Notamacropus eugenii: one gene and its partners. The protein of the gene in region 4 purifies or fractionates together with the protein of the main gene of each other region. This does not show direct contact. Links are inferred from orthologs where the notes say so. Each region holds a gene or a part of one and is shown on either strand. Other genes may lie near its edges. The genes, in order: ANKRD52, ANKRD28, PPP6R1 and PLK1.

Region 1 (7,867 bases), on a different chromosome or scaffold from region 4:
GGCCTCCCAAACCTCCCCAGTGCCCATAGATCCACCAAACCTAAGCTTCCTTATGCTGACCTTATCTTCCCACATAACCTCTTCTACAGTTCTTAAATCCCTAACCTTAGTCTCCCAACCCCCTGACCTCAGCCCCTAGCCGTAGCAGGTGCTTGACCACATCAATCTGGCCATTGGCAGCAGCTGTGTGGAGCAGTCCATAGCCCTTCCGGTCCTTGCAACTAGGATCTGCACCCCGGGCCACCAACAGCTTCAGGACCTCCAAATGCCCTAAAGCAGGGGAGGGGAATGAGATAAGGCAAAGCTAAAGGGAATGGAGAATAAACTCTACTTCAGGTCCTTTACCCCAGAATTCTCAAACTCTAAATTATGCCTATGTAGGCCAAACATTTTCTTTGCTCCAAGATTCTTCCTCACCTAAAAAGGCTGCCCAGTGTAGTGGCTGCCGCTCCTTTTTGTCACAGACGTTAAGGCTGGCCCCCTTGTTCAGAAGCAGGTTCACCATCTGTGTGAGAACAGGGGACATTTCCATTTAGAGCCTGGCATAAGTCCCTTTCCACCCTTCCCTATCCCCAGCCATCTTATACTAAAGCTTCTCCACTTTCTCAGGAAACTGAGGAGAAAACTGATATATTGCTGAAAGGACCATGGACAGGGACTAATGAGAAAGCAGAGACTAGGAAAGGGAAAGGACCAGGGGATGGGCATGGAAAACCAAGCCCCATAACCACAGTGTCTGGATGCCCCAGACAAGTTATAAGCAGGCAGTGAGGGAGTGGAATCCATACCTCCAGGTGCCCACTGTGCACGGCATGGTGCAAGGCACTGCGCCCGCTTCGATCGGCCACATTAAGGCTGCTCAGCAGCGGGGCCAGGGCTTCAGCACATTTGGTGGCCCGGTTGGCAGCAGCCACATGCAGTGGTGTCTGCCATAGCTTGTCCCGGGCATTCACATCTGCGGAATGTGCTAGGAGCAGCCCCAGTACTTTCTGTTAGTGGCAATTTATCAGGACAAGAAGAACAAAGAACAGGAGGTGAGGGGATGATTTGGCATGGGTGCCTTAACTCTAGAAATGAGAACAGCCTCAACATCCAGTAAATACAGAATCCCTTCTTCCCCACAATCTTACTCCCGGTTTCCCTAAGAAAACATACAAACCACCTTAACACCAACTGACAGTCATCTGAATAGAACCTCTATCTTTCCAGGGTAAACACAGACCCGTCCTCAAGCCAAATTAACTTCATTCTCCCAGTCTTAGTAATCTTAGTACCCCTTACATCCTTTCCCCAAGCAAAAGTAAACATCCTAAAGACTCCTTGATCCTCCCTACCCCCATGGGAATTCCAGGAAAAATAAAGCCTCCCACCTTCATGTACACACCCACCTTCAACCCTTCCACAACCACGGAAATCAATCTCAATAACAAGCTAAGAAAACAGATGACCTCCATCCCCATTCCCTGGTCAAAACCTAGCCAGCCCCCTACCCCTTAATATATCAGCCTCAGTAACTCCTTCTGAGCACTGTGCTGTGACCTCTAGGATGATGGCTCAAGCCAGGAGAGTACCAGGGTAGCCCTGGGAGGGGCCCTCTCCTGCTCTTCCCAGGGCTCAAAAGGGGAGCAGGCTCTAAGGTGGCCCCTCAGGGAGAGATGAGTCATTTAGGCCTGGCATTGGAGCCCCCTGCAGCCTGCCAGCAGAGTGCTAAGCTGCCCCTGACGTCAAATCAGCTGGCAGAGCTCAGCCCCCCATAAACAGCCTGCCCAGAGGTCAGGAGGGAGGAGCCAAGATCTGACTTTCCTCTCCAGATGGTACAGGAGATGAGACTCTAGAGGAGGATGACAGAGGAATAAGACTTCACCATCCACCTCATTAGAAGGCAGAAGGGCCCAGCTGAGCCTACCTCATTCCTAGAGGCAGCAGCGCGATGTAGGGGGGTCAGCCACAGTGTGTCCTTAGCATTGACATTAGCACCTGGGGACAAGTAAAGAAGGCATGTGGGGAGGCTGGGCTTGGGGACCAGGAGGAGGCATCAGAGAGCCCCACCTCGCCGCGCCCTGGCCTCCTCTCTTACCTGACAGCAGTAGCAGTTGGAGGATGGGGACATCTCCTACATAGGCAGCAGCATGCAGAGGGGTTCTTCTCTCTTGGTCCTATTGAAGGGAAGGGCCGCGCTGGGTCGCGCCGACCTGACACCCCGGTGCCCAGCCCTCCATCCCGCAGGCGGGCACAGGGGGAAGGTCGGACCCCCGCTCCGGCCCCCCCTTCTCCCTGCTGGGCGCCTCCCCCCGGGGCGGGGGCGGGGTGGGGGCCCGGCGGCCCCCCGCTCACCAGCACGTTGATGTTCTCCTTCTGCGAGAGGAGGGAGCGCACTTCCTCCACATCCCGGCTAAAGATGGCCTGGACCAGGGGCGGCTGCGGGGAGAGAGCGGCGGGCGGGCGGCTCAGGGGCGGGCCGGGAAGCGCCGCGAGGGGCCCGCCGGGTGCCCTGTCACCGCCGCAAGGGCGGCGGGCGCGGAGGCGGGGCCGGCCGGCCCTGCGGGCGGGCTGGGTGTGCGCGATGCGGGGCGGCGCGGGGCGGGGCGGACCGGAACCGGCCCGGGGGGCCGGGGGGCCGGGGCGCGGGGGCCCGGGGCCGCGGGAGGCCGGGGCGCGGGCTAGGCCTAGGCCGCACATCCCCGAGCTCGCGTGGCGGCAGCGCCCGGCGGGCGGCGGGCGGCGCCGTCACTAACCTGGTCCGTGATGCTGAGGATCCCCATGGCCCGGCCCAGGCTCCGTCCGCATCGAGCTCCCGGCGGCAGCGGCGGTGGCTCCACCGGGGACACGGGGCAGCGGCGGCGGCGGCGGCAGCAGCAGCGACGGTAGCGGCTGCTGGGAGAGCGGGGCCCCGCCTACCGGGAGGCGGGCGAGCGGGAGCCGGCAGCACCCCCTGGCGGCCACACCGGGCCCCGCAGCTCCGGCCCCCCGGACCTCCCGCCAGGGCCTGCCGGCCCCACCGCCGTCCCGTAGCACCGGTGGCGATCCGACCTGGCGGCGCTCCGCCCCCTGGCGGCCAAGTCTGGCTCCACAGCGCGCCGCAACCTACCCTGCAGCACCCCCCGGTGGCCGGATCTAGCTCCAGCTCCGACTGTCAAACCCAAGCGCGCAGCTCCCCCTGCTGGCCAAAGCCTGACCCGCAGCGCTCCCCAGATCTGAAAAGGGATGGAGAAGTGTGGGGAGCTCTGGAAATTCAGCCTTCTAGGGTTTAACCCTGCACAAGTGTAGTAGTCACGTGGCGCAGCATAATTCCCGAACTGGAAGGGAACCCAGAAGCCGTGTGGTCCAGTCTCTTCATGTCACAGAGGGCCTGAGGTCAGTTTGAGCCTGGATCTCCCTTGCAGCCCTCCAGCCCATTCTGCAGAAGGGAGAACCGAGGCCCACGCTCACACTGCTGGGAACAGAGCTGGCCTTCCAGCTCCAGCCTCCGGCCCCGCGTTAATGCTTTTCCACCGAACCGCGTCCCCCAGGAGGCAAGCTGAGAAGAGCGCTTTACGAGAGTGTAGTCTGGCCAGAGTCAGGACGCGCCCCCTTCGGAGAAGTACAAACACCCCCAGCCGCTGGGCCACACGTGTTCTGCTTACTGCCTGGGTCTCTGCGCAGAGGACAGAACTCCGCCCCATTGCATTTACTTCTGAAATGGGTTACAGCCGATGGACCAAGACACGTCCTCGCCCGCAGGACTCCGCAGCTGAGCTGTGTAGGGGCTGGCCGAGAGGGCAGAGTACAAGAAAGCAGCCATCCTCTCCAAGGCCTTCGCCTACAAGGGCCAGGGTCTCCAGGGTCTCCACCGCCCCCTGGGCCATCTCCAGCCGTCCTGATGAATGTCAGGCCACCGGACCCAGATGGATCAGGAGAAGAAGGTGAGGCTGGTGACCTCGCACAGCCCTCCCTCCCTCCCATTAAAGTCAACTGAAAGTCATGTCATCATCTTCCTGATGTCATGGTCCTTTTTAAGAGCAAAGGACAAACACAATTCCACCAACATATAGGAAAGGTACCAGACTGAATCCTGATGGGGAAATTCAAGAAAAAAAATCACTGAGTAATTTTTCCAGCCAAGGTTGGTAAAGGAGAACAGAAATACCTTTTGAAACTGGGAATAGGGTCATAGTGCAGAGCTGAATGCAGGGATTGAATAAGGGCTAGTGACTGTCCACTAGGGCGAGAAGACCTCCTGGATCTATCGCAGAGAGGTCTGATACTGTCCAAAGAGCAAGGACACATGCCAACTGGAAGGTCTGTCCCTCATATTCCAGAGCTGGGTCATAGATCCAGTGCACCTAAGTCTCAGGTCCAGGACCAGCAGTTGCGAGCTGAGGTCCTGTAGTAGAGAAGGAGCAGGAACAGAAGCAAACAGCAGCTATGTGGTTCTGACCCTGGCAGTACAATAGGATCTCAGATTCTACCTCCAGACCAGTCTGAAGATAAAGGAGAGCCTGCAATTCTATCACTCTGAATATGCATTTTTTTTTTTTGATTGCCTATAGTAGTTGAGTTCTGCAGCTTTCTACAGGAGCTCCAACCAGGGCCAAGTACACAGTTGTGTTGCTCTGACCCTAATTCAGATTAGGAGGTTGCACAACTCAGAGAACAAAGAAACCAATTAGGCTTTGCCCTGTATGAAGGCCTTAACACAGTCTAAAATTCAGAATTAAGGCTAGATTTCAGGAAGAATGAGCAAAGAAAAATAGATTCTTACCACAAAGAGCTTTTATGGTGATAGGAGCACCTAAGACACAAACTGAGAAGAGAATGGCCCCAAAACATCTACATGTATAACCTAAAGTAAAACACAACTTGGGCACAAGTTCAACTAGAATTCCTACAAGAAATGAGGCAAGGGGGTTGTTTTTTCATGTGTATCTTTTTAAGACTCACAAGATTATTTTATAAATGGAAGTGTTAGAGGAAAGAATTGGAAAAGAAATGAGAGCTATGGAAGAACATCTTAGAAAGAGAATTAACAACTTGATACAAGAGATACAAAACTTACCTAAGCCACAAAGTACCTGAAAATTAGAATGGGCCACACAGAAGTTAATGACTCCATGAGAGAACAAATATACTACAGGGCTGGGTCCTAGTTGTTGGGGAAAATGTTTTGCATTTCTGTTCTTCCTATGTCTTCTTACTAAGTATTCCTTTGTAAAAGTTAATTGTTGTTAATTTATTAAATGATATCAAGGATACACTGGAACATGGCTCAAGCCCCTAGTATTATTAGGAAGATACCTACTTCCTCTTCAGAGGTACCTTTAAAACCCTGAGGGAAATATATACCTGGCAAGTGCTCTGAGGACCAAACTCTTCAGTGAAGGTAGGAGTTGCACTAACCCTCCCCCCCCCCCCAAGGTATACAAAGGCCATATATACTACGGGACCTTTATATTGTATTCATTTGTGTATCTTTTTGATATGTGTACATCCTAACTCTTTGATTAGGTTATAATCATCTTATGAACAGGAATCTTCTCAGTTTGACATCCAAGATGCTCAGCACCACAAGGATGTTTTGTATGAACTGTAAATTGTTTTGTATAGCACCTACCATATAAACATGTGTAAACAAACTGATGACATGCTTATGATGATATGGAAAACAGCATGGTGTGGTAAAAAGTACCTTGAACTCTAGTGGATTCAAGAGACACAATCTCATCTCCATAAATTCCTCGCTATGTTATCCTGAGCACATGACTTGGAATCTCTGAGATATTTGATTTGCAACATGAGATATTTTGACTAGATAATCTCTAAGATACTTTTCAGTTCTTAACAATTTATCTAGTGATATGTAATGAAGAGTTTGAGACAAGAAGAGGAGTGTATGGAGTAGGGTTAGGGGAGAAAGGACAATTTCCAGAGGAGAGTTATATCACTAGAGGACTGGCCCAAAGATATGGCCCAAAATAGCCCCTGGGAAATATGAGGAACACTAGTCAGAGGATGAACACAGGTCACATGTTTGGGTCTGGGATGGGGTGAAGGTGAATAGAAGGCACTTACTGGGTTCCATGGGCAGCTGGATGAAGAGAAGGAGTTATTTTTATCATCAAACAGCACAGGAAGGAGATTCCCCAGTGAAAGAAAAAGGAACATAAAATAGTAAAGACTGCTTTTTTTTTTTCCTGAGCCCAATAAAAAGAACCTAGGGAGGGAGGGCTAGTATATGGGAGTCAGAACACTCAAGTTTGAAACTTTAGGCTCAGAGAAGCTAGAAAAGATTTGTTTCTAGAGACTGGGTTCTATGTCAAAGTTAGAGAAATAGATCTCAAGTGTTTTGCTTTTTCTGTGCCTTGGTTTTCATTTAGTTTTTCATTTTTTGATTTAATAAATGTTTTTGAGATTCTCCTGTGTGCAGAGCACTTCATTTGTTGTGGGGGAAAGATGCAAAAGAAATCAGTTCTATAATTTATAATCTTTTTGAGGAGATAAACACATAAGCAATAGAGAATTCCTTCAAAGTGAAACATAAAATTCAGTTAAAATAACATAAACCTTAAAAGAAAGCATTGAATGATGATATAAGACTGAGGAAATCAAATTGGAGTAAAATTAATCAGAGAATGCTTCTTGGAGAAGAGGAGTTTTGAATCAAGACGAAGTGGTAAAAGTGAATTAGTAGAGAAAGGACAGGAAGTTTAGGAGTGAAAGCACAAGAGGCAATAATTAGCAAATATCATTTTTTGGGAGGATAGTAAGTTAAATTGACCTGGCAGATCTACGGGGAGGTAGGATCTAAGGAAATCTGTGGTAGTTACATCAGAGTACAACGCAAATGAGGATATGGGTTCAATCCCATATCCCAGTTAATTTTGTTCTGTTTCATGACTAGAGATTGTGCCCCAACCCCTTTATGCCTGATCAGGAGGGGCAGGAACCTAGCCAGACAAGAGGGCATGGACTGTGGGCCTTCAATGCAGCAAGTCAATCCTTTTACATATCCCCAATTGATTCACTATCTCATGAATCACAGCAGTTTTTTCAAACCTTTTCATCCCTCCTTGAACCTTCTATAGCTCCTCCTCTCCAACGCTCTCAACTGAAAACCTTTGCTTATATTTTGGAAAAAAAAATGAAGTCCATTCACTAAAAGCTACTTCTTCTCCCCCCATCTCCACCTGCCTTCTGTCTCTGTAACTTTCTTTCCTTTCACTCTCTTTTCAGTTCTTTAGAGTCTGGCTTCTGACCTCACCATTCAATGGAAACAGTTTTCTCCAAAGTTATTGATGATCTCTTAATTGTGAAATCTAATGGTCTCTCAATTCTCCTACTTCTTGACCTTTGACACTGTCAGTCACCTTCCTTGATACTCTTTTCACTAGGTTGACTTTTCTCTAGTCAACAACATGACTTTTCTCTCTCCTAGTTCTATTTATACTTGTCTAATCACTCCTTCTCTGTCTCCTCGATCTTCATCCAGGTCATTTCCATGAAAGGGGCCATCTCCAGTGGTCCTGATCTAAATCTTGCCACTGGATCCAGATAGCTCCAGAAAAGAAAGTGAGACTGGTGACCTTGCACAGCCCTCCCTCACTTAAATCCAATTCACCTTCAAGTCATGGCATCGTCTTCCTGATGTCATGGTCCTCTTCAAGAACAAAGGATGAACAACACCCATTAATCACTGCTCTGTCCTGGTTTTTCTTCTCTTTCCCCTCTATACTATTTCACTTGATCTCATCATCTTCCATGGTTTCAGTGCAGATTATTCTCAGATCTACTTATCCAACTCTAACCTCTGACCTCCTGTCTCACATCTCCAATTGCTTTTTGGATGTCCTGTAGACATTTTAAACTCAATATATTCCAAACTGAACTCATT
Region 2 (7,762 bases), on a different chromosome or scaffold from region 4:
ACAGCATAAGTATCTATGATAGGATATCATGTTCTAAAGGAGTTGACAACAGCTTTTAAAACAAGGCTAAAGATAACACAGTACTAGATAAAAGTTGTACATGTAAACAATATACAAGCTATTACAGTAAATGCCAGGCCTTCTGTTTTACTAGTAGCAGTCAGTCTCTCCTAAAACAGGGAGAACTCCCAGTTCTTACTTGATACCTCAATTTCACAAACTACAGATTAGACACGGAAAGAAAGGAAGTGAAAGACAAAATATATTTATATTCACTAGGCTATAGGCAATCTACAGTCAGACTGAAATCATATTATAAATCATAAGGTTAATTTTCCTTTTTAAAGTTGAAAGTATACAGCCTTTGTCCTATCTCAAAGGTTTTTCATCTTCCAAGAATATCAGAAACATATTCACTTTACATTTTGACATGGTAGATATTACTGCAAACTGAAAACATAAATGACTAAAAAGTCTATTATTAAAAAGCAAAAAAAAAAAAAAATCACTCATATTACACCAGAATACAAAAATACTTAAGAAACTATCACATCTTACCAATGCATTTCCAGAAGCTGGAGATGGAAGGAATTTATTTTCCTGAGGCAATTTGGAAACAAATGTTGGAGATTCATCTTCTATCTCCTCCAAAACAACAATACACACCCGACTCATTCGTTTAAAACACTAAATTTCAAACTATATAGCAAAAGTTACAGTTGATATAGCACAGGGAGTATGTCTTTCTCTTCTGTACACACTTGCGAACATTCTGTGTACTACAGCTGGCATTTAAAAGTTAATTTTAAACTTCAGTTTTTCCAGTGGTGACTGACCCCCTACAGTTTTGAAACATCTCTAAAATTGCCAAGTCCTATTATTCTGTTCAAAGTCACTAGTTCTTTACTACATAAATTATTAGTAAAACCCAAAACAAAACCTTTGTAAATTAATCTCAGGTATAATCTAAATTCATTTGAAAAATTATCCTTTAAAAAAATTATGCCTTTTTAGTATCCCTTGTCTTCACAGCAGAATTTTGTTAGCACAGAGAGGTCATTGTTTGGGGTGACATGACACCACTTTGTATTGACTGAAAGGAGAAGCAACTGCAGTGACAGAGTCTATCCCAGTTATCCTCAATTCGGGCAAGGTCAATTTGGTCACGTATAGCTGGCTTTCTTTGATCAAAACAAATTTTAAAATTTCACTATTCTATCTCCATCTCAGAGTCAAACCTTCATTTCTTCAGTTTCACTAGTCTTAATGCTGATATACTCCAGAAAAAATTCATCTGTGCTCAGCACAAATTCAGAACATGGAGCTCAGAGGTTGACAATTCTTTCTACGTTTAAAAAATAAACCCACTCTTCTGCATCAACAGCAAAGCTGCAATACATTTACAGGCAATGAGTCAGGTCACGAGGGACAATAAGAAAATTCTTGGTGTTAGAATATGGCCTGTTCAATCGAGATTTCCCAAACGGCAAGCATGCAGAGAGCTGTATTTTCATCAATAGCACAGGCAATGCAGAGCCCTCATTCCTCCTCCATCAAGCAGCAGTTGGCTGTGGCTGTTCTAGCAAATAACCCACAACAAGAAGGGTATTAGCAAAATAAAATCTTAACGGTTTAAAGAAGCTACGAAGCTCAAATAACTGTTCAAATCACTGCTTCGACCTTTTCCTCTACAAAGTAGTTTATCACTTGAGTGTTTTCCTTTGATCTCTGCATGAATCCAGCTTCCATTATACAGTCCTCCTTCAAGGGAAAAAAAATCCTCCGTGCATCTTCTTTCCGACTACTCTTTTATTCAAACATCTGGGTCGGTGCCAATCCAGCTTCCTTCCACTGCTAGCCTTTTTAGTAGATTTCAGATGTTTCTGTGTTCAGTAGATGATTTTGAAAAAGCCACAAACCCCTTGAATGAACTGATCATTAAAAAGAAAGACGAAAAATCAACCACAGGACCTGAAAAATCAGCCCCACAGCAGCATTCCGACTGAGCCTAGTCTGAAGAGCAGACTGCAGACCCGCAGGATAAAATGCCTAGTAATGCTCACATGTTACACTTACCACAGAACTGAGCCACTGCTCAGGATGTAACTTCCTCTAGCCACCCCCCAAAAAGGGCCACATTTGTAAAGTCTTCACAATTAGAATGCCCATGCCAGTTCTGTGACTAATTCAGATCAAACTAAAAAATTCTTTAGCTGAAAAATGAGCGTGCTTTTAACATTTTCCACTAAAAGCCACAAAGAAATCTGGTATCCTGGTATACTGCCTCTGCTGACTAACATCCATTTATGCAAGTAAACAGTTCCAAACAGCTTAACTGTTTTCATATGTTACTGTATAGAAGCCACTTTAACCCTTTCATGCTAACCAGAATTGTTAAAATAGACGTCCTGGCAAAACTGGTATCAGTGTACTGGGATGGGATTTAGAGATAAGAGAAAATCTGCAACCAAATACAGACATTTGCCTAGACAGACACATCCTTAGGCTAAACTTTTGTTATTTAGAAAGACAATTTTGATAATTACAAGGCAACAAATATTCTTCAGGAAATTTCAAACCAAAACTATCATTTTTTCCTACAAGCTAGATAGTACTAGTAAGTGTATAACCTCCTTACATCTCAGTATCTTCATTAAAAAAAATAGGGATAATACACTTCAGCTAACCACATTCATCAGTACCTTAAATGAATGAGTTTTCTGTGATTCTTGTAAATTTATCATTTTGACTCACATCTATCTAAAAGTAGCTGTACTTCCCCTAGCATTTATTAAATACCTACTATGTGCCAAGCACTATGCAAAGCGCTGGGGGTAGATAAAAAAAGGGCAAAAAAAAAATAGACCCCGTTCTCAAGAAGCTCACAGTCTAATGGGGGAGACAATATGCAAACAACTATGTACAAAACAAGATATGACAAAAAAATTTCTGGAAATTCTTCTATTCACTGACATACATATGTATATATGTATATATATTATATATATACACATATGAGACAAGTTTCTTACTGATATTAATCCATGATTCCTGCATATTAGCAAACAGGCACTATCCCTCTACCAGTGTCGGTCAGATACTTCTATATAGCAGCTTAGGAAGCAGGACTTACACCATGCTGCCTCTCCGCTTATTACAGAAATGAAAGACAGAAATTAGGTTATCTATTTAAGATATCTTCCAATTCAAAGTATCACATAAAATTTCAATATGAAGACATTCACATAATGTGGGCAAAGTCTTAAGAATCTGTACTACCTTACTTTCAAGTGATGAAATATGGGAATAAGGAAGAGTTAGGTAAGCATTTATACAGTACCATCTATGTCCCAGGCACTGTGCCAAACATTTTTATTAATATCATCTCGTTTGATCCTCAAAACAACCCTGAGAGATAGTATTATCACCACTCTACACTTGGGGAAATTGAGACAAACAGGTTAAGTAACTTGCCCACGGTCACATAAGTAAAGTTATCTGAGGCCAGGTTTTAAACTCAGGTCTTCCTGAGTCCAGGTCCAGGCTCTATTTACTACCCCTCCAAATGTGTACCTCAATCAAGAGTGTTATTTAATTTGCTCCCAGGATATGCTCCCTCCTTCCTCAGTGAGTCTTTCTCCACCACCCCTTCTACTCTCTTACTAGGCGACTGGAACACACATGCTCCCACCTGGTTGTACCCCAAGGTACGACAATTCATACCTCAAAACCTGCTCTGAGAGGGAACTGGAAGACTTCTGGCTTTTCATTGCCACTTTCAGACTCTCCCTCTACTATCATCATTCAGCAACCTCTTCTTGAAGGTACAAGCTTTCCAAATTTATCCCCCAATCTGGATCCTTCCAAACCCTACCCCTCACAATCTCCCTTCTTCCCTAATGAGTTGCCTGACTAAATAATCTTTCATAATCTTACATAATCTTTCTCTCCACAACTCCAGCCCTCAAACTGAAGACTTCAATACATATTGGTTAATGCTTCCTCAAGCACCTTAAAATCATGTGCTCAATTCCCAAGACCAACTTACTCCTTCATGTCAACTGTGACCTTGATAAGGCTATCACAAAATAAGTGGTTCATGTCCATATTAACTCAGAAATGTCTTCATCTCATCATACCCATCTTTCCCCATCCCATGCCTTACAACCCCAACATTCTTCTTCAGCCTCCCCATGACTACCATTTTCTTTATCCCTCAGTTCTTTCCTAGGCTCTAATCCCTCCACTGGCTACACTCCCTTCTTTTTTCTACATTAACCCTTGGTGAACTATCCTCTTCTCTTTTCCTACTCCTGATCAAGCCAAACTCCCACCATCTGCCACTTCATACTCAGGAAAATCACCAATGTTGCTGACTAGATCCACCACCATTTGTTACACAATCTCAACTGGACCCTTACTACATCGAGACAATTATTCTACAATTGGTTCAATATCCCACTCTCCAGAGAAACTGTTCCAAACATTGCCTCTCATCAAGTCTTCCACTTCACCTTACGTATCCCACCCCTCCTTCTGAGTTCAACTTCACCAATAAGCTCCCCCTTATGTCCTCTTCCTCATCTCACATCGTTCCGACATCTTAAGTCATTTAATCTCAGTTAACCTCAAATGTACTTCAGTTTCTTCAACTGTAAAATGGGGACCTACTTCTCAGAGTTGCCGTGATGATCAAATGAGATATTTGTAAAGTGCTTAGCACATATAACTGCTAGCTATTATTACTATGTCTCCCTAATCATTAAAACCTCCACTGATTCTATCATACTTGACAGGAGTCATTATTTTTCCTCCCTTCTGGGGGGGGGGTCTAAACTCCATGAGAAAATGATCTATGCTTCTTGCCTCTCGTGTCTCTTCTAAAACCTTCTGCATTCTGGTTTCCAGCCTCGTTATTAAACTGAAACTTCCATCTCCAAACTTATTGAAGATCTAACTGCCAAAGTGAATGGCTTTTTTCTCAGTTTTCATCCTTTTTGACTTCTCTGCAGGACCTGACACTGTTAAGAATACTCTCTTCTCCCAAGGTTGTAATGACACTGCTTTTTCTACTCCTCCACCCCACATTTCTTTCTTTTGATTCTCCTCTTGTCTAGCCACAACTGCTTTGTCAGTCTTCATCCAGGTCATGACCACTAAGCATGACCCTATTCTGGTGGACCTTATTCTCTTATCCCTCAATATTACCTTACTTAATGATCACAATCAGCTCCCTTGGGCTCAATTATCATCTTTATGCAGATGATTCCAAGATCTACAGACATCCCTTGCTTTCTCCTAAGCTCTAGTCTCCTATCACCAACTGACTTTTAGACACCTTCAACCTTAAGGCCCCTAGGTATCTCAAAATCAACGTGTCTAAAACAGAACTCATTGCTTCTTAGCTTCTCTACTACACTTGAAGACTACCACCATCCTCATGGCCACCAACCTCGGTGATACTCCCATTGCCCCCACATATCTAATCGAATACCCAATATTGTCATTTCTTCTTGAACATCTCTCATTATCTGTCTCCTCTCCACTAGCACAAGCAACAACCTAATGCATGATTCATTACCCTTTGCCTGGACTACTGCAAAAGCTTTCTAGTTAGTCTGTCTGCCTCAAGTCTCTCTCCCCACCCCAATGTATTCTCCTCCCAAACTCCAGTGGTTCTCTATTATATCCCACACTAAACAGAAACTGCTTGGCACAACAGCATATCCTTTTAATAGGTCATCCCCGTTAATCAAAAGTTAGTGATATAGTACTCAGGTACTATATGAACACAAATACAAAATATTCTTTATACAAATACAAATCTAAATAGCAAATAAATCTAAATCTAAACTGAAATATTAATTGCTCATTTTAAGCTGAGTCAATATAATAAAAATGACAATACTACCTAAATTTACTTTTTCAACGCCATACCAAACTACCAAAGGATTACTTTATAGATCTAGAAAAACAATAAAAAATTAATTTGAAGGAACAAAAGGTAAAAAATCTCAAGGAAATTAATGGGGGAAAAAATCTGAAGGAAAAGGACCTAGAAGAACCAGATATCAATCTATACTATAAAGTAATAAACATCCAAACAACTGGTTAAAAAAATAGGTTAATCAGTGGAATAGATCGCCTACAATATGCAGTGCAAATGTAGTGTAGCCTAGTATCTGATAAATACAAAGATCCCAGTTTTGGGGCAAAAATTCACTATGACAAAAATTATGGGGGAAAAATGTAAAATAGACTGGAAAAAACTAGGTATGGAAGAACATCTCACATCATCTACAAGATGAGCTCCAAATTCATGACTGAGACATAAAGGATGATGTGATATGAAAAATTACCTGCAACTTTATAAAGAGAGGAAGAGTTCATGACCAAAAAAAATAGAAATGGGTCAAAGAAGATAAAATGTTCAAGTTCTTGCATAAACAAAACCTATGCAGCTAAAATTAGAAGAGAAGCAGGTAAATGTGTGTGTGTGTGTGTGTGTGTGTGTGTGTGTGTGTGTGGAGGGGGAATTCTTGCTAATAATTTTCTCTGATAAACATCTCATTTCCAAGATATATAAGGAACTGACTCAAATTTATAAGAGCAAGAATCAAACTGACATAAAAAAAAAAATCTAAACCACTAAAAGGGGAATCTAGGAGGCAAAGTATAGGGCATCAGGCCTGGAATCAGGAGGACCTGAGTTCAAATGTGTCCTCAGACACTTGCGAGCTAGCCATGCGACTCTGTTGATCTCAGTTTCCTCACGTGTAAAATGAGCCAGACAAGAAAATAGCAAACTACTCAATTATCTTTGCCAAGAAAACCCCATATGGGAACACAAAGAGTCTCAAACGACTAAACAATACTGATAAGACAAAGGAAGTTCTTTTGGGGCAGCTAGGTGGTGCAATGGATAGAGTGAAGGGCCTGGAGTCAGGAAGACCTGAGTTCAAATTCTGCCTCAGACACTTACTATGTGACCTTGGGCAATTCACTTAACCCTGTTTGCTTCATTTTTGTCACGTGTAAAATGATCTGGACAACGAAATGGCAAACTACTCCAGCATCTTTGCCAACAAAACCCCAAATGGGGTCATAAAGAGTTGGACAAGACTGAAACAACTGAACAATGATAATCACTAAGAATTAGAGAAATGCAAATTAAAACTGAGGTTCTACATCTGATCTATCAGATTGACAAAGCTGACAAAAAATGAAAATGGCAAATGCTGGAAAGGCTGTGGGAAAACAGGTACATTAAAGCACTGTTCGTAAAGCTGTGACGTGGTCCAGACACTCTGGAAAATAATTTGGAATTATACTGTAAATATCCTTCGACCCAGAAATACCACTACTAGGTCTACACCCAGATAGCAAAGAAAAAGAAAAAGGGCCCATGGGTGCAAAATTATTTATAGCAGCTCCTTTTGCAGTGACAAAGAACTGGAAACCCTGGGGACATCCATCAATTAGGGAATAGCTGAACAAGTTATGGTATATGAATATGATGGAATACTACTGTGCTAAAGGAAATAATGAAGGTAGTTTTGGAGAAACCTGGAAAGACTTGTATAATTGATGCAGTGTGAAGTGAGCAGTCAGAAAATAAATTTCTACAGCAACAATAATATTGTAAAGATAATCAATTTTAACCAACACAGTGACTAACCATTATTCCAGAAGAACACACACACACACACACACACACACACACACACACACACACACACACTCTCACTCACTCACTCTCTCT
Region 3 (7,961 bases), on a different chromosome or scaffold from region 4:
GGAAAAGAATTGGCAGATGTTTCACATGGAAAAAGATGGGGGGGGGGGGGAGCTGAGTGGGCTCCCAGTTCCACAAGCCAGTGATTTGAAGAGGGGCTGCAGGAGAACTTAAGAAGCTAAAAGGAAAAACCTCAAGAAATACAAGAACACTGACCCTTAAGCACATGAGGGGATGCTGTCCTACAGCCAGAGCTGAGACCGGAGGTTCAAGGGGCTCCACAGAAGGGAGGTGGCTTCCTCTCCTGGCCACCCCCCCAACCCAGGACCCTAAGATAGGAAGGGTATCCCCCTCACCCTGCTGCGGCTGGAATAGAGGCTGGTCAAAGCAGAGCCAACAAGAGGAAAGGTAAGGAAATGCCAAAATATCAGCAGTCCCAAGCTGGAAGGGACTCCAAATGTCAAGATGAGGGATGTGACCCTGACTCAGAGAAAAAAACAGGGCCCCTAAAGGGACCATAAACCATCTACTGCTTCAGAGAGGTGGGGCTCCACCAGGGGGCGCTCAAGGGCAGCCAGGGGAAAGGAGGAATCCTGACTGCTAGAGGGAAGAAAAAGGGGAAGGGAGAAAAGAGGAAGATGAAAGTAGAAGGGAAAGGAAAAGAGGAGAAAGGAGGAGGGAGGAAAGAAAAGGAGAAAAGAAAAGATGGGGAGTAGAGAGGAAAAGAAAAGAGAAAGCAAGAGAAGAACAGAGGAGAGGAGGAAGGGAAGAAGGAAGGAGGGGGAGGGGAGGAAGAAGATGGGGGAGGGAAGGGGAGAAGGAGGGAAGGGGAAGGCTCACATTGAAGACCTCCTGCCTCAGCAGGGGCTGCTCCACACACGTCAGCAGCCTCAGCAGCAGGTCCATGATGGCCGATGTCCCGATGTGATGGAGTAACAAGGGAACGAAGTCAGCCTTTTTGCGCAGAAAGGCCACGATCTGAGAGGAGAAGAAACCAGTTGGCTAACCCCTTCCACCATCACAGCATAGGCCTTTTGCAGGGTGGGGCCCCTCCCCCTCCAAGGACTCTTCAATCAAGGCCATCGGCCCCCACCCTGGCAGCTTCTCCTCCAGAGATCCTTCCCACCTCCTCTAAGGCCCCCTAAGGGGCAGGCACTGAATCACTTGGGCACACCCTGGCTGTCTACTTCCTCCATGTCTCCCCAAACCAGAACAAGCAGGCACTTCTTTAATCAAGGTCTGAGTCAGAGGGAGCTCCCCAGGCCCCCAGAGACCTACCTGGTCCGTCTTTCGGTTGATCAAGATCCCCATGACCTTGCTAAAGAAACTGGCCAGCAGGGGGTTCAGGGGGGCTCTGTTCTGTAGGAAAGCATAGAGGCGGCCCAGAAGAGCCTCATCCTCCCCAAGAGCATCGTTGATCTGAGGGACATCCGAGGTCAGGATTTCGCAGGACACACTGGGGTACCTGGAGAAGAGGCAGCTGTCAGGCTCTGCCTAGAGAAAAACAAAAATCTACAGGTACCATCCCGCAACCTGGCCACCTCTCTGGACCTCCACTTCCCAATTTGTAAAACAAAAAAGCACTCCAGCTTAAATTCAATCAAAGGTTCTTATGCTGGGGGGGGGGGGGGGGGCGGTGCCAGAGGGAACAAATCCAGGAGACCAAAACAAGGAGAATAATTAGTGACACCCCCCCTTCCCTCACAGGGGTTCCTTGTACACAGCACTGCATGCTTCAGGATTACACCTGCAGAGAGAGGGCCTGGGGCAGGATGGCCCAGGCCGGGAACAGGATAACCAGCAGGAAAAATAACTGGGTGTGAGATGAGGGAGAGTGATCCAACAGCGTGGCCTGAGCAGCTGACACAAAACCAGCACTCGGACCTGGGCCCTGCCCTTGTCCTTCTACAGGACACAAGAACCAGAGGGAGATGAGGAGAGACGGCCTCACTTGTAGCGAAGCCGCTCGTCACCGGCAGCTGGGGGCTCCCGGGTGACCCAGTCCACGAGGGCCTGCAGATGGGCTGGCCGCAGCAGGAAGTCCAGCAGCTTGGGGTGCAGCACCTTACACTCCTGCAGCACATCCTCCTCATCCAGAAGCTCGGCCAGAGCCAGGTCATCCCTCTGCAGCAGCGAATCGATGTGCGAGCTGGTGTGCAGATCAAACTTCCAAAACATGGCGCCCTGCAGAGGGTGGTCAGAGAAGAGCCTGGAGCAGGTGGGGTGCAGGAGGGGAAGCCCAGGAAAATCCGGCTGCAAGCTGAGAAGGTAGCCCCCACATGGAGCCCAGCTCTCCCCGGGTGTTCTGAACAAGGGGCTCCCTCCGACTTACCCCCTAACACAGGGTCTCCTGGGGAGCAGCCTTCTAAAGGAGGCCAAGAGGGAGCTGGATGGCCACCCTTGAGAGCCATGGGCCCCAGTGGGGGGGGCTCGCAGGGCAAGAGCCACGAGAGCTCCGAGCGGAGGGAGGCCGTGCCAGGGCACAGGCCAGCAGGCCCCCCTGCCCCCAGCTGGGCAGCAGTGCCCGCTGCTCAGGTACTACGAGCAAGGCCCGAGAACGGTCCACGCTCGCAACGAGAAACGCCCTGGGTTCAAATCCCGATCCTGACCGAGCTGTCCGAGCCTCCAATCCTAGACCACCGACCCAACAGGGAGGCTTCGGGCAGGGGAAAGGGCCATCCCCCTGCCCCGAGGCCGGCGTGCTGCGCTGGCCCCAGGGGGGCTCGGCGGTCATCCCCGAGCTCCTCACCCCAGGGTGCCGGCCTGCGCGCTGGATGTGCCCCTCCCAGGAGCCCAGAAATGGAGCGGGGGTCCCCGGCTGTGCAGCCCAGGGACGCGGAGAGGGAAAGCAGGGAAAGGAGGGGCGTTTCCAATGGCAACCGGGGAGGAACAAGCCGAGGAGGCCGTGGGGGGGATTTCCCAGCATCCCCCAGGAGCCCTCCCGTCCAGGGTTCGGCCCGGGCAGGTTCCCCGGAGGGCGGGGCCGCAGTCACCTGGCACCCGGACACCCTGCCCCGCCCCCCAGCAGGGGGACACGCCCGGTCTGCGCCCGGGGGTCTCGAGCCCCGCCCCTTCCCCTCCTCCCCCGGGTTCGTTTCTCCTCCGCTCCCGCCCTCTCCCGGAAGACCCCTGCGGGGCCTCAGTCTCCCCCTCCGCGCAAGGGGCGGGGCAGGGTCACTGACCTGGGCGCGCGAGCAGCGGCAGCTCCGGCCTCGGGCACATCGGGGCGCGCGCCGTGGGGAGGGGGCGGGGCGGGGAAGTGGGCGCGCGCTCCCGGCCCGCGCAGGCGCCCTGAACCTCTGCGCGGTGGGGGGAGGAGGGGCCGCGCGGTAGGGGGGTAGCAAGACCCGCGGCGGTTTCTCCCCCCCCCCGCCCTCCCGCTCCTCTTTCTCCTCCCGCGGGTGCGGGACTTCAGGGCCGGGCCGGGGCTGCGGCTGCTGCTCTGCTCTCGCTCTTGCGTCCGCCTCGGCCGCCCCTGTGTCTGCGTCTGCAGCCTCTGCAGGGAAAGCTCGAGCGCAGAACTGAGAGACGGCAGCAAAATGGCTGGCGCGCAGGCGCGACAGAGAAGCCGCAGAGAGGGCGGGAAGGGGGCGGGAGCTGGTGCGCAGGCGCCCTGAAGCTAGGAGGGGGAGGGGAGCTCACGCAGCCGCTCTAGAAAAGCTCCGCGGGCCCGGGAACAGGCTCACGCGCAGGCGCAGGGGGAGGGGGAGAAATGGCTGCGGAGCTGCCGGAGCCCCGCGACACATAAAAGAGAGCCCAAGGGGGATGCCCCTCCCCTCCCTGGTCCTGCTTCGGCGGCCCTGGAAGGCCGCAGGCAGGCGGGCGGGTCGAATCTTTGTCCTCTTTCTTCGAGGCTTCGTGCCGTCTGTCCACTCACGGTCCCCGCAGCGTCCGTCTGCCCTCCGACCCGCCCGCCTGCCTGCCGCAGCAAGCCAGCCCTCTCCCCTCCACCCCGCAGTCTCCCACAATCCCCCGTGGCGAGGACCGGAGAGCTCAGCGCAATGCAGTGCAAGCCCACCCCTCGCAGCCCATGGCCTCCGTGCGCACGCGCGCCCAGCAGGCAGTCTACCCCCTCTCGGCCTGGCTTCACCAAAACACGCGACTGCGCTTGCGTGCAGGAAAGGCAGCCGCTGCCCCACCGCCTCGGGGGGCTTATAAAGCGGCACTCTCCTGCTGCGCAGGCGCTCTACGCCCCTGTCCTGCTCCCTCACTCCCGCCCCGCACCTCCACCCCCTCGGGAAGTGGTACGCATGCGTACGCGTTCGTCTCTCCGCCCCCGCCGGGGCTGTGTGTCAATTCCCCTCTACACCGCCCCCCCATCCACAATGCTGCCCCCCCCCTCCCCGCCCCCCCGCCCCCGCACACAGACGCGGCACTCGAGGGGGAGGAAGAAACAGCTTTATTGCCAGGGCAGAGCCAGGAGCGGGGCGGGCACGCACGGGAGGGGGCGGAGGGGAGGGAGAGCAGGGGGCTTCGCGGCGCCCCGGGCCCGGCGCCCAGGCTGCCTCCTCCCCGCCTCGGGTGGGCGGCAGGCTGCTGGAGAGGAGCCGCCGGCGGGGCGGGGCTCCATGCTGCGGGGCGCGGGCCCCTGGGTCCCTCCCCAGCCTTCACCGGTCCATGCTGTCATCCGTGGGGGAGGAGAAGCACGCCTGCAGCAGCTTTTCACAGAATTCCAGCTCCTCCTGGAAGGAAGCGGGAGGATCAGGGCTGAGCCCCCCACCCGGGAGCCGCTTCCCTAGGACCCCACCTCAGACCCGGGGGCCAGCCCCGGCCTCTTCCACCTACCCCCCTGCCCCCCATCCTGCTCTCGCCCAGGCTGACCTAGGGACACCCGCAAGACCACAAGGGCTGGTCCCTTCGGGGCCCCTTCGCTACCCCTGACCAGGGCCAGGCTGGGATGGGTAGGGAGAGGCCTCGGGACATTCTAGAACTCCCTCAGTCCAAAGGCTCATGCACATTATTAGCTGCCCCTGATCTGGGCTGTGCCAGGCTCTGGGGTTTTCCCCGGCCTCCCCTCTGCCCTTCCAGGGCCGTGCCTGGCCCCTCTGGTTCCTGGTACTCTCCTAGAGCTTGGGGTCTCTGCTCATCTGTCTCCACATCTCCACTTGAGGACAACTTCCCAACATCACAGAATGGGAGAGCTGGAAGGCTTTGTGAGGTGACAGGAGGACTCCTCATCAGGGCTGGGGGCCCCCCTACGGCTGAATGGCTGGCACTGAGCCCAGGGCTGGTGCAGTGAGGAATGATGCACACATGGGCCTCATGCCCCCAATGAGGAGAGAGCTCTTTTAGGGATAGGCTTCTGCCTCCCTAACCCTGGGCCTAAACCCCTGCCCACAGCCCCCTAGCCTGCTCCTAGGAGCCCAAGGAGAAGCAGCAGTCCCCACCCCTTACCTGGTACTCCTCATGCTGCTGCAGCAGCTGACACCGATGTCGAAGGAGTTCCTCCAGCCCCAATTCAGGCTCCCGGCATTCCCGGATCCCTTGGGGGAAATCTGTCACCAGCCTGTGGAGGGGGATGGCCAGGTCAGCACAGCCCCAGCTGGCCCCAAGATGCCAGCCTCCCACCCTGACCACCCCTAAGATTCCTCTCACCTGCAAAGTGCCCCCAGTACATGCTCGTGGAAGGGGCTGTGCTCTGTTCGGATCAGAGCCACCAGCTGCTGAACCATTCCCATGGAGCACAGGGTGCCTGAGGGTGGAGAGAAGACAGGGTCAAAGAGACATGTCCCCCTGCCTGCCCAGGAGTGTGAGGCAGGTCTTTCTAGAACCTAACCCACTGCTGACTAGCCTTTGAGGCCTACCCTCCCTCCATGATGGGCTCCAAACTGTCAGTCTGCCCCACCTCCCACAGCTTTCCCAGAAACACTAAAATCTGTTCTGCATTTTCCTGCTTTGGCTCCCACTCTCCCACTCTCTGCCTGCTGGTGCCCAGCTCCAAAGGTGCCTTCCCTGTGTCCCCCCATGCCTCCCCCTTTGCCGCCCCCCACCTTTGTGCTCAGGATGGCCCACCAGCAGGTTCTGCAGGAGGAAGGCCGACTTCACCTTCAGCTTCACCACATCCTTCTGCATGGCCCGCATCAGCACCGAAAAGCCATCTAGGCGAAGGAACTGGAGCAGGCCAGCTTCCTGCTCCCGGACCAGGCCTGGGGGCAGCAACAAAGGGTCAGGCCTTTGTTCTTCAGATACCAGGACAGCTCCCAGAGAAGGGGATTGCCATAATAAGCATTAATTATGAGAAGCATAGGGTAACCACCTACTATGTGCCAGGCACTGGGCCCTGCCCTGTAAGTGTTCACAATCTGAGGGCAAACAATCTAAGTAGGAAAAATGTGAAGAGAATGGGCACAGGACTGGGGGAAGCCAGCAAGGTCAGCGGTGGAAGTAGAGAAGGGAGAGGGAAGGCCCACAGCAGAGATAGGACTGGGAGGATGTGTGTGGGAGGAAGATGGAAGACCAGATAGCAGGGAGGGGGCCAAGCCAAGCAGGTCATATTTGGTCCTGCAGGAGGTTAATGAGTAGGGGCTGAGATAACATGGTCAGACCCAAGCTTTAAGAAAATCCTTTATGTGGCTGAATGGAGGATGAATGGGAGTGGGGAGAGACCAGAGACAGGCAGCCCCGCCCAGAGCAACAGCCCAGGGGTGAGGGGCTGCACCAAGGAGTGGTTGTCAGAGGAGAAAACAGGCATGTGGGGGAGATGTGGCAGAGGGGAAATTGACAGGCTTTGCCACCATACTGAATCTGGGAGGAGGGGGAGGGAGTGAGGAGTCCAGGATGACCCCCAGGTTGGGAGGATGGGGGTGCCCTCGATAGTCATAGGAAATGGGGGGAGGGGTTTACAGGGAAAGGTAATAAGTCCTGTTTTGGACATACAAACAGCTGTCACTTTTATGTAAATTCATGTTATCCAAATTTGACTTTATGTGAAGAATTCTGAAAAAAAAAAAATCTACATTCCCAAAAAACCCCTCTGTTTACTTTGCTGTACATGCTGTGTTTTCTGTCCACCCCACAGCCTCCCATTCCACCCCCACAAAAAAAACCCTCCAAGTGAAAGCAGAAGAATGGGCAGGAAAATCCCCCACCCCAGTACCAAGAGAGGAAACTTTTGCCCTGCTCTGCCTACCCGGCCATGTGTCCAGTCCATGTGTCTGCCATCAGTACCGCTCAGGTCCTGCATATCTATCTCTCCAACCTCTCTTGTCTAGACCATGTCCATGCCCCCTCCATGCCCCTGGGTTCTTCCTCTTGGTTCTCGCCAGGCCCCGCCCGTCACATGCTCCACCTGTCCCCTGCCCCCTCAATGCAAGGGCACACAGTCCCCTTCCTGCCTCCATGCAAATTTGCATGACATAAAAATCGATTTACATAGAGGTCTGGGGTCCCCTTACAGTTATACAGGAAAATTCTACATTGAGTTTAAGATATCTAACTGCACATTCAGTTGAAGATGTCTGAAAGGCCATTGGAGATGCAAGATGGGCAGAGAAAGGGAGATCTGAGAATCGTCAGGATAAAGATGGTCATTAAATCCATGGCAGCTGATTAAGGAGGACAGGGGAGAAGAGGAGCCAGGACAGATTTGGAGGGACACCTCTGAGGGTCTGATCTGGTGGAGGATCCAGCAAAGGAGGCAGAGAAGGAAGGAGTGGTCAGAGAGGAAGGAAGAGAACTGGAAGAGAGTGATCAGGCTGCAGCAAGAAGGACGAGGAAAGAGAAAAGGTCACTGGATTTGGCCACTAAGAGATCTTTGGTCACTCTGGAGAAAGCAGTCTGGGTGGAATGATGAGGTCACAAGTCAGAAGAGTAGGAGGAGGTGACAGCCTTTTGGGGGAGTTTAGCCACAAAAGGCAGGAGACATGAGGTCATGGACAAGAAGTCCAAAGTTACAGATAACAACATCCCATGGAAAGGAGGCAGAGGGGCTTGGAGTCCTCTTCACAGAAGGCACCATGAGGGCACCAGGAGAATTAGGACTTTTCGGTCCTGCCTACACTCCCAAAGCCTTGGCCCCACCACA
Region 4 (7,385 bases):
AGTCTGGGTATTGTAAGATAATCACCTCCTACTTCCTTACAGATTGACTGGAAGTGTTGCCTCTAAATGTAGCCCAAGATCACATTAGTTTTGGCTGCCACATTATACTTATGACTAATGTTGAACTTGTACCGTACTCAGATACTGAGAGAGTTTTTTCAAACAAACTTTGGAACCATGCCTCCATCATCTTGTACTTGTGAAGCCAATTTTTTGCAAGCAAGTGCAAAAGGTGAACGACCTAGGAAAATATCCTTCAGCTCCTGAGGCCAAGCCTAGGCAAAGGGAAGAAAACTGGTACTGGATGGAAGAGGCCCTCAGTGGGATGCCAGCATCAAGGGAAACAAGGCTCCATTCCCCCTGCTCTCTAAGGATCTTGTTTCAGATAACCACAATCACTTAAAAGCAATAGTTAACCCTTCCACCTGTCCTGCCCATCTCCTCACTGTCCCCAAAGACCAGTGTTCTTGAATATCTCACTGTCACTGGAATCTCATCTTCCCTGGATCATCTTTCCTTCTATTCTTCTCGTCCCTGAGACTAAATAGTTCTTAGGATAACAGAGAGCTAAAAAAGGAAGGCCAGGTTTTGCCTATTCATAAATGGAGGTTTGCCTGTCTCTTGGGTTCCTGATAAAGAATCCAGTTAAGCTACTACTCACATGATACACCCAATGGACCAGATATCCACCTCAAAGCTGTGGCCCTTCTTACTTAGCACCTCAGGGGCTATGTAGTTCGGTGTTCCGCAGAGGGTCCTCTTACGTTCACCATCATATTCTACTCTGGTTGCTAATCCAAAGTCACCTGTAATAAGGGTTAGGAAGCAAATCATTCTTCTTCCCAGGAATCCAGATTGGTTTGACCCATAGTCCCATGTAGGTTGTTACTGATGCCCACTTCTGGCACCTAACAGCCTGGGGCCTTTTCAACAAAGCTGGCCCTATTGTAGCCTACAATATAAAATATAATTTTTCTATCCCATCTCCCTAGACTAGGGTAATCTAAAGACCCAGAGAGAACATTACTACCCCTGCCTCATCTCACTGGGGGGATTGGGGGGAAGGAGTTATATCCTCCTTTGTATAATAGGTGCCTGTCTCCAAATTTTTTTGAAATTAGATCCAGAATTCCTTTTGTTTTCCACAGTAAACCCTGGACCATGTCTATGTTCCCTGGTTGCCCAGTTCTGTTGTACAGAAGAAACAAAGAAAAGCATGGGTTGTTGATTTTTTTCTACAGTATTCTTTTAGCTACCAACCTGTGGCTGCCCTCACCTCCCCCATCTCCATCCCTATCCTTTTCTAAAAAACATGGAGCTGTGCAAGGAAAATATGACTCTGGGCATACACTTTCCTGCAAGCATTTTAGGACTAAATCTTCTTCAATCTGTAGCTCTCTTGCATAAGGTTGTGCATTTAAGCATAACTGCTTACTTTTGCCAAGAGGAATGATTTAACAGCAAAGCCAAAAAGAAGTTTATAAAATTTGGCTTGTGGAAAAGGCTCCAGTCACACAGACTTTAGACTAATCCCTGGGACTTTTGCTTAAGGGTCTTTCCTGGACAGCCACACAGATTATTCAACGGGGAATTAGGTCCATTTAGGAAGTTACACTTCCTGTACAAAATCCCAGCTTGGTTAGGGGTTCCCCAGTCTTACCTATCTTCACCTCCATGTCATCATTGAGGAAGAGATTACCCAACTTGAGGTCTCTATGAATAACTTTATTTTCGTGGAGATACTGACAGCCTAGGATAATCTGGCGAAGGTAATACCTGGCCTCAGGCTCAGTCACTGCTTTCCTTCTTTTATGCAGCTCCAGCAAGGACTGTGGGAGGCAGCGAGAAGAGACACGCGCTAAGTCAAGGGGTCTCAGACTCTGTTATCGGGGTGGGGAGGGGGTCGTGTGAGTGGAAACCTTGCGGGGGGGGGGGGGAAGGGGGGGCAACAGAGCTACTCCACCCTAATGCTGCTTATGAAAGAACTCACAGGGGATCCACTCTCTCCCCGAGCCCCGAGGGTTCAAGACATGAACTGAGGCCTCGAACTTGAGAACTCAAGGGCACGATGGAACTTGGAGCCAGTTTCTGGGTTTAGCTGGGCCCGGCCCCCAACCTCCCGGGCTCTCGCTAGTGCCCACGCCGGTTCTATGGTGACCGCTTGGTGGGGAGATCGGAGAGGAAGCACGCCCCACCCCCAGTCCTTCCTGCAGGCCCTCCACCCCTCTGATAGCACCCCGGGGCACTAACGTCTCCTCGCCCGTCCCCCCCACCTCCGGGGCGCTCACCCGCCTCCGGCACAGCTCCAGCACCACGAAGACGAAGTCGCTGTCCTCGAAGAAGCCGTGGAAACCGACGACGTGCTGGTGGACCAGGCTCTTGTGGATATTGATCTCCATGGACATCTTCTCCTTCTGGTGCGGCTTCAGCAGCAGCGACTTGGGCACGATCTTGCCCGCAAACACCTCCTTGCTCTGCAGGTCCGAGAGCTCGAAGCACTTGGCGAAGCCGCCCTTGCCCAGGAAACGGCCCCGCAGGTAGCTCCGCCGGCTGCGAGGGTCCACCAGCACCTCGGGGATGTCCGGGGCGGCCGCAGGAGGGGCGGTCGCGGTCCCGGTCCCGCCGCCCGCTCCGGCCCCGCCGACAGCGGGCTTGCCCCGAGGCTCCGAGGAGCCCACGCCGGGCTGCCGCAGGGGTAGCTTCGCGGGCGCCGCGCTCATGATGCCGCCGCCGCCGTCCCCAGCCGCCTCTCCCAGCTCCGCCCGCAGCCGCTCCGTCCTCCTCCCGCTGCTTCTCGCCCGGCTGGACCTGCCCGGGTGCGGCGCAGCGGCTGCGGCTCGGCTCGGCTGGGCTAGGCCAGCTCCGCTAGGCCAGCTCGGCTCGGCTCGGCTCGGCTAGGCTCGGCTAGGCCAGGCCAGCTCCGCTAGGCCAGCTCGGCGGGGCTAAGCTAGGACAGCTCGGCTGCACTCTGCCAGCCCCAAGCGGCGCGGCTGCAGGGTCAGTGCAAGTAGCCCAGAATTCAAACCCAGCGCCGGGAACGTTACGGGGCGGTCCGCGCCGCCGATTGGCTGCAGCGATTTAAAATCCAAACCCGCCTACCGCGGGGCACGATGGGAGAGCCCTCGCCTCCACCACCCACTAGCCCCTGCCCCACCTGCGAAGGCAAGCCGAGCTTTCAACAAACTTTATTGACAGCGAGTGGGGGGCCGCTGTCAAGTTTGGTTGTCCTGGGAAGCCTGGAGATTGAGCGTGCTGAGCGTGCTGCACCACGGAGGAAGAAGGAGGGAGGGAGAAGCGATCTGTGGCAGTGACTGGCCTGGGAAGGACCCCCAGGGAGGAGGAAATCAATTGATGATGGACCACGAACCATCCAGGAGCTGTCTGTAGCTGAACAAGAATCTCCTTTTTAGTGTTACCGAGTGGGCGCTTATGTATCTGTGTATATTTGCGTGTGTATATGTGTGCATTCATACGTATGCATGTATGTGTATATGTGTATGTAATGCGTGTGTGTGTGTGACTCTGGGCAAGTCACTTAACCCTGTTTGCCTCAGTTTCCTCATCTCTAAAATGAGCTGAAGGAAATGGCAGTATCTTTAACATGACAACCCTAAATGGGTCACAGTCAGACAAGACTGAAGGATAAAATATGGTGGGGTACAGACTCTGAGAAGCTCCTTGAACTCTGCTTGAATCTTCCCACTTAATCTGGACTTTATACCCAAATCTATGACCCTTAACCTAGCCTAGCCCATCTTCCATTACTTCCCACTCAAGCTCTCCATAGTCTGATACCTCCCAATTGCCTCCAGCTGTTTCCCACCCTTCATTACATCACTAGTTACCCTAGTTTCTTCCAGATCCTCCTTAGACTCTCCTCCCAGACTACTACACCACCTCTAGATCTTTCCCGCAGACTTTCTCTATATAAATTCCATCTCACCTCCATGAAGGGGCTCAGATTCAATCTAGCTTTGACTGTCTAGCCAACTTTCTATTTGGCCCACTTGTTAATACAAGCATCGCAAATGGCAAGGCTCCTTAAGAGTCAATCCAACATGGCAAACCTTTAATAAACTTTGCTTTACTTTTGCTAGAAGAAGTCTTGAGTCGAATTCATTCGGCAGGAACTGGCTTGTCCGTATTTTGGGGTCCTGAGTTCCCCAAACCTCATGGTTCCCAAACCTCAACAAATACATACATGCATATACATATATATTTATATCCTCCTCCAAAGGCGAAACAGTTTTACTTTTGCATAACTCTATTTGCTAGTAAGCTTTTCTTAAGATGGGGAGTATATCTGCCTCTCTATAACTTACACTCACTGGTTTAGTTCTGCCCTCTGGAGACAAGCAGAACAAGCTAATTCCTTTTGGATACAACGGTCCATGATACAACGGTCCTACAACTACTTGTAGGCAGCCATTTCTCCGGTCTTCTTTCCACTCGCTTTTCTCTCCCATCCCACCCCAGTCATTTCTTTGCCATTCTAAATATACCTCAGTTCCTTAAACTCCACTTTGTAAGACAAGGACTCCAGTACTTTCACTAACCCCTTCTTAAAATGATGCCTTTTTGTTGAAGAACCTTCAGGGGCTCCCTAATAACTCTAGGATTGGGTGTGGAATATAGAAAAATCCTTCACTACCCCTGTAGCAAACTTATTGTACTTAGGGTCCAGTCAAATTGGTCTAGTTGCTCTTCCCCAGACTCGAGGGTCCCATTTTCAGTCTTCAGTGCCTTTGTATGAACAATCAAATAAGTTCATCCCACACACTCAGAATGCACTACTTCTTGAGCTGTGACTTTTATAATCCTTGATTTGGCTCTGTTCAGATGCTGCCTCCTACCAGAAGCTTTCCTGATTCCCCCTGGCTGTTACTGATTTCTCCCTCCTTAAGTTTTCAAGTATATAATCGGAGAGGTATTGGAACAAACTCATATTTGCTAGAGAGAGCGTCATTTAAAATTTTCCGTGTGAGCATTTACATCTTGGAAATCAGCAAGTGCAATGAATTAGAAATTTATTGTTTTGTTGATTTCTAGACTTTAAAAAAATGAAGAAAATAATAATACAAATTAGACTGAAAAATGTGTCTTGGAATCCCAAAATATTCATGATGAAAAATGCTTTCCCTTTGAGAAAAAGAACAGATGGCATCTAATACAGACCAAAGTGCACTATTTTTTCACTTTCTTTGCTTCTTTCATTTCTTTTTCAGGTTCAAGTTTTCTTCCACAAAATGACTAATATGGAAATATGTTTCACATGATTGTACATGTATAACCTATATTAGATTGTTTACCGTCTCAAGAAGGAGAGAGGGAAAGATAGAATTAGGAACTCAAAGCTTAAAAAATATAGAATGCTAAAAAATTGTTTTTACATGTAATTGGGGGGAAAGTAGAATATTATTTGAATTTTTAAAAAATGTGTCATGCTTACATTTTTCCAGAAAGCTGGAAACATTTACAGACTACAAGGTGAGTCTTACCTTACAGCTACAAACATTTCCAGAGAGCTAAACATTTACCAGTACAATCCTGCATCTAATTTATAATATGTAATATATTAATTATTAATATATTATTATATATAATATAAGTTTCTTGAAAGCAGAGGATGTTTATCATTTTTTTGTTTTTACTTCCACTCAAATAATTTACTTTATATTGTTTTCTACAGACATACTTCATATTTGCCTTGCTTACTTGTACACACCTTGTATCCTCTCAATATAGTCTAGCACTTAGCACAGAGTTGGCACAGGGTAAGGCACTTAATAAGTTTTTATTGACTGACTATAGGAGAGTTGGAGACCAACTCTAGGATCTAATCACAGAAGTTAAGGCACCATCATTTCTCAAACATGGAGAAATGAGTCAAATTTTTAAGAATACAAGGCATTCCTCAGTTGTTAAATGGTCAAAGAATATAAACAGGCAGTTTTCAGATGAAGAAAAAAATGCCCTAAATCACTACTGATTAGAGAAATGAAAATTAAAATAACTCTGAGGTACCACATCACATCTATCAAATTGGCTAATATGACAGAAAGGGAAAATGATATATGTTGGAGTGGATGTGGGAAAATTGGGACACTAATGCACTGTTGGTGGAGTGGTGAACAGATCCAGCCCAAAGGTATCAAACTGTGCATACCCTTTGATTCAGCTGTATCACCATTAGATCTGTATCCCAAAGAGATCAAAGAAAAAGGAAAAGGACCTACCTATACAAAAATATTTATACCAGCTCTTTTTGTGATGGCAAAAAATTTGGAAATTTAAGGGATAACCATCAATTGAGGAATGTATGGTATATGAATGCAATTGAATACTATTGTGCTATAAGAAATGAGGAGCAGATGAATTTGAAAAAACTTGGAAGGACTTACAGGAACTGATGGAAAGTGAAATGAACAAAACCAGGGCAACATTGTACACGGTAATGGTAACATTGTATGATGATCAACTATGAATGACTTGGCTCTTCTCAGCAATACAATGATCCAAGAAAATTCCAAAAGACTCATGGTGGAAAATTCTATCCACAACCAGAGAAAGAACTGATGGAGTCTGAATGCAGATCGAAGCATACTATTTTCATTTTTTAATGTTTTTTTTTCATTTCTTCTTTCCCAATATTGATGGAATCCTAATAGAGCTGCTAAATCAGCCCCAATATTCTAACTTCCTTATGGGCCCCACTAAACAGCAGGTATGGCTTGATTTGACCATACAATCTGGCCTTAATCATACCATAGGTCCTCAAACTCAATCATCGGCAGACCTGCTGCCTCTAGCTAGCCACTGCATCCAGACTCAACTTAGCCACTGCCTCTAGCTAGCCATTTCCCCTAGCCAGCCATTGCCACCAGACTTAATCCTTTAGCTAGCCTCTACCCCCAGATGCAATTCACATATTTTCCACAGAAACAGGTATGTCTATGCACTCAACCTCAACCACATCATCCATCTTGACCAGACAGGACCACAATAGTTAGCCAATCAGCAGCACTGCCAGGATGTAGAGCAGGATGTTTGACCACCAAACCATAGAAGGGGCCCTCCCTAAGATAGCACCTTCACAGTAATAGTAAAGAACTGACCTAGAGTGAAGTTATGGTGTAGAGAGGATTATTATAATTTCATTATCATACGTACATGCTCCCCTTTACCCCCTTTGGATTTTTCTATATGTACTGTCGGTAACTGCATACAAAGTTCCACCCAGGCTGGGAACCCTCCCCTATTACTTAATCTCTTAACAAACCCCCTCCTGCCTTTTAAATATTAATCATATTCAAATATTCTATTTAAATTTTTATTGTGCAATCAGCATCATATACACTATAAAATTGTCTTACCTTACTGAAGTT

Evidence for each region.
Region 1: the proteins of PLK1 (region 4) and ANKRD52 purify together in Homo sapiens (affinity purification with mass spectrometry; 3 studies listed by BioGRID and IntAct, with this or other methods). This does not show direct contact. The link is inferred for Notamacropus eugenii from reciprocal best matches to the Homo sapiens genes PLK1 and ANKRD52.
Region 2: the proteins of PLK1 (region 4) and ANKRD28 purify together in Homo sapiens (affinity purification with mass spectrometry; 6 studies listed by BioGRID and IntAct, with this or other methods). This does not show direct contact. The link is inferred for Notamacropus eugenii from reciprocal best matches to the Homo sapiens genes PLK1 and ANKRD28.
Region 3: the proteins of PLK1 (region 4) and PPP6R1 purify together in Homo sapiens (affinity purification with mass spectrometry; 3 studies listed by BioGRID and IntAct, with this or other methods). This does not show direct contact. The link is inferred for Notamacropus eugenii from reciprocal best matches to the Homo sapiens genes PLK1 and PPP6R1.

What each region holds. Positions count from the first base shown.
Region 1 is NC_092874.1:231,520,036-231,527,902, forward strand, and holds the start of ANKRD52 (serine/threonine-protein phosphatase 6 regulatory ankyrin repeat subunit C), read right to left. Parts: upstream 3,012-7,867; 5' UTR 2,763-3,011; coding exon 2,736-2,762; intron 2,419-2,735; coding exon 2,335-2,418; intron 2,157-2,334; coding exon 2,078-2,156; intron 1,978-2,077; coding exon 1,907-1,977; intron 990-1,906; coding exon 789-989; intron 506-788; coding exon 418-505; intron 271-417; coding exon 128-270; intron 1-127. UniProt on the Homo sapiens protein: Putative regulatory subunit of protein phosphatase 6 (PP6) that may be involved in the recognition of phosphoprotein substrates.
Region 2 is NC_092874.1:38,157,207-38,164,968, reverse strand, and holds the start of ANKRD28 (serine/threonine-protein phosphatase 6 regulatory ankyrin repeat subunit A), read right to left. Parts: upstream 3,001-7,762; 5' UTR 676-3,000; coding exon 559-675; intron 1-558. UniProt on the Homo sapiens protein: Regulatory subunit of protein phosphatase 6 (PP6) that may be involved in the recognition of phosphoprotein substrates. Involved in the PP6-mediated dephosphorylation of NFKBIE opposing its degradation in response to TNF-alpha.
Region 3 is NC_092876.1:17,896,450-17,904,410, forward strand, and holds the start of PPP6R1 (serine/threonine-protein phosphatase 6 regulatory subunit 1), read right to left. Parts: upstream 3,007-7,961; 5' UTR 2,865-3,006; coding exon 2,688-2,864; intron 2,668-2,687; exon of another isoform or gene 2,271-2,667; intron 2,257-2,270; exon of another isoform or gene 2,123-2,256; coding exon 1,890-2,122; intron 1,404-1,889; coding exon 1,217-1,403; intron 917-1,216; coding exon 779-916; intron 1-778. Other genes in the region: HSPBP1 (hsp70-binding protein 1), read right to left, coding at 4,546-4,620, 5,333-5,444, 5,534-5,630, 5,929-6,084. UniProt on the Homo sapiens protein: Regulatory subunit of protein phosphatase 6 (PP6). May function as a scaffolding PP6 subunit. Involved in the PP6-mediated dephosphorylation of NFKBIE opposing its degradation in response to TNF-alpha.
Region 4 is NC_092872.1:81,487,028-81,494,412, forward strand, and holds the start of PLK1 (serine/threonine-protein kinase PLK1), read right to left. Parts: upstream 3,015-7,385; 5' UTR 2,721-3,014; coding exon 2,289-2,720; intron 1,830-2,288; coding exon 1,661-1,829; intron 807-1,660; coding exon 662-806; intron 1-661. UniProt on the Homo sapiens protein: Serine/threonine-protein kinase that performs several important functions throughout M phase of the cell cycle, including the regulation of centrosome maturation and spindle assembly, the removal of cohesins from chromosome arms, the inactivation of anaphase-promoting complex/cyclosome (APC/C) inhibitors, and the regulation of mitotic exit and cytokinesis.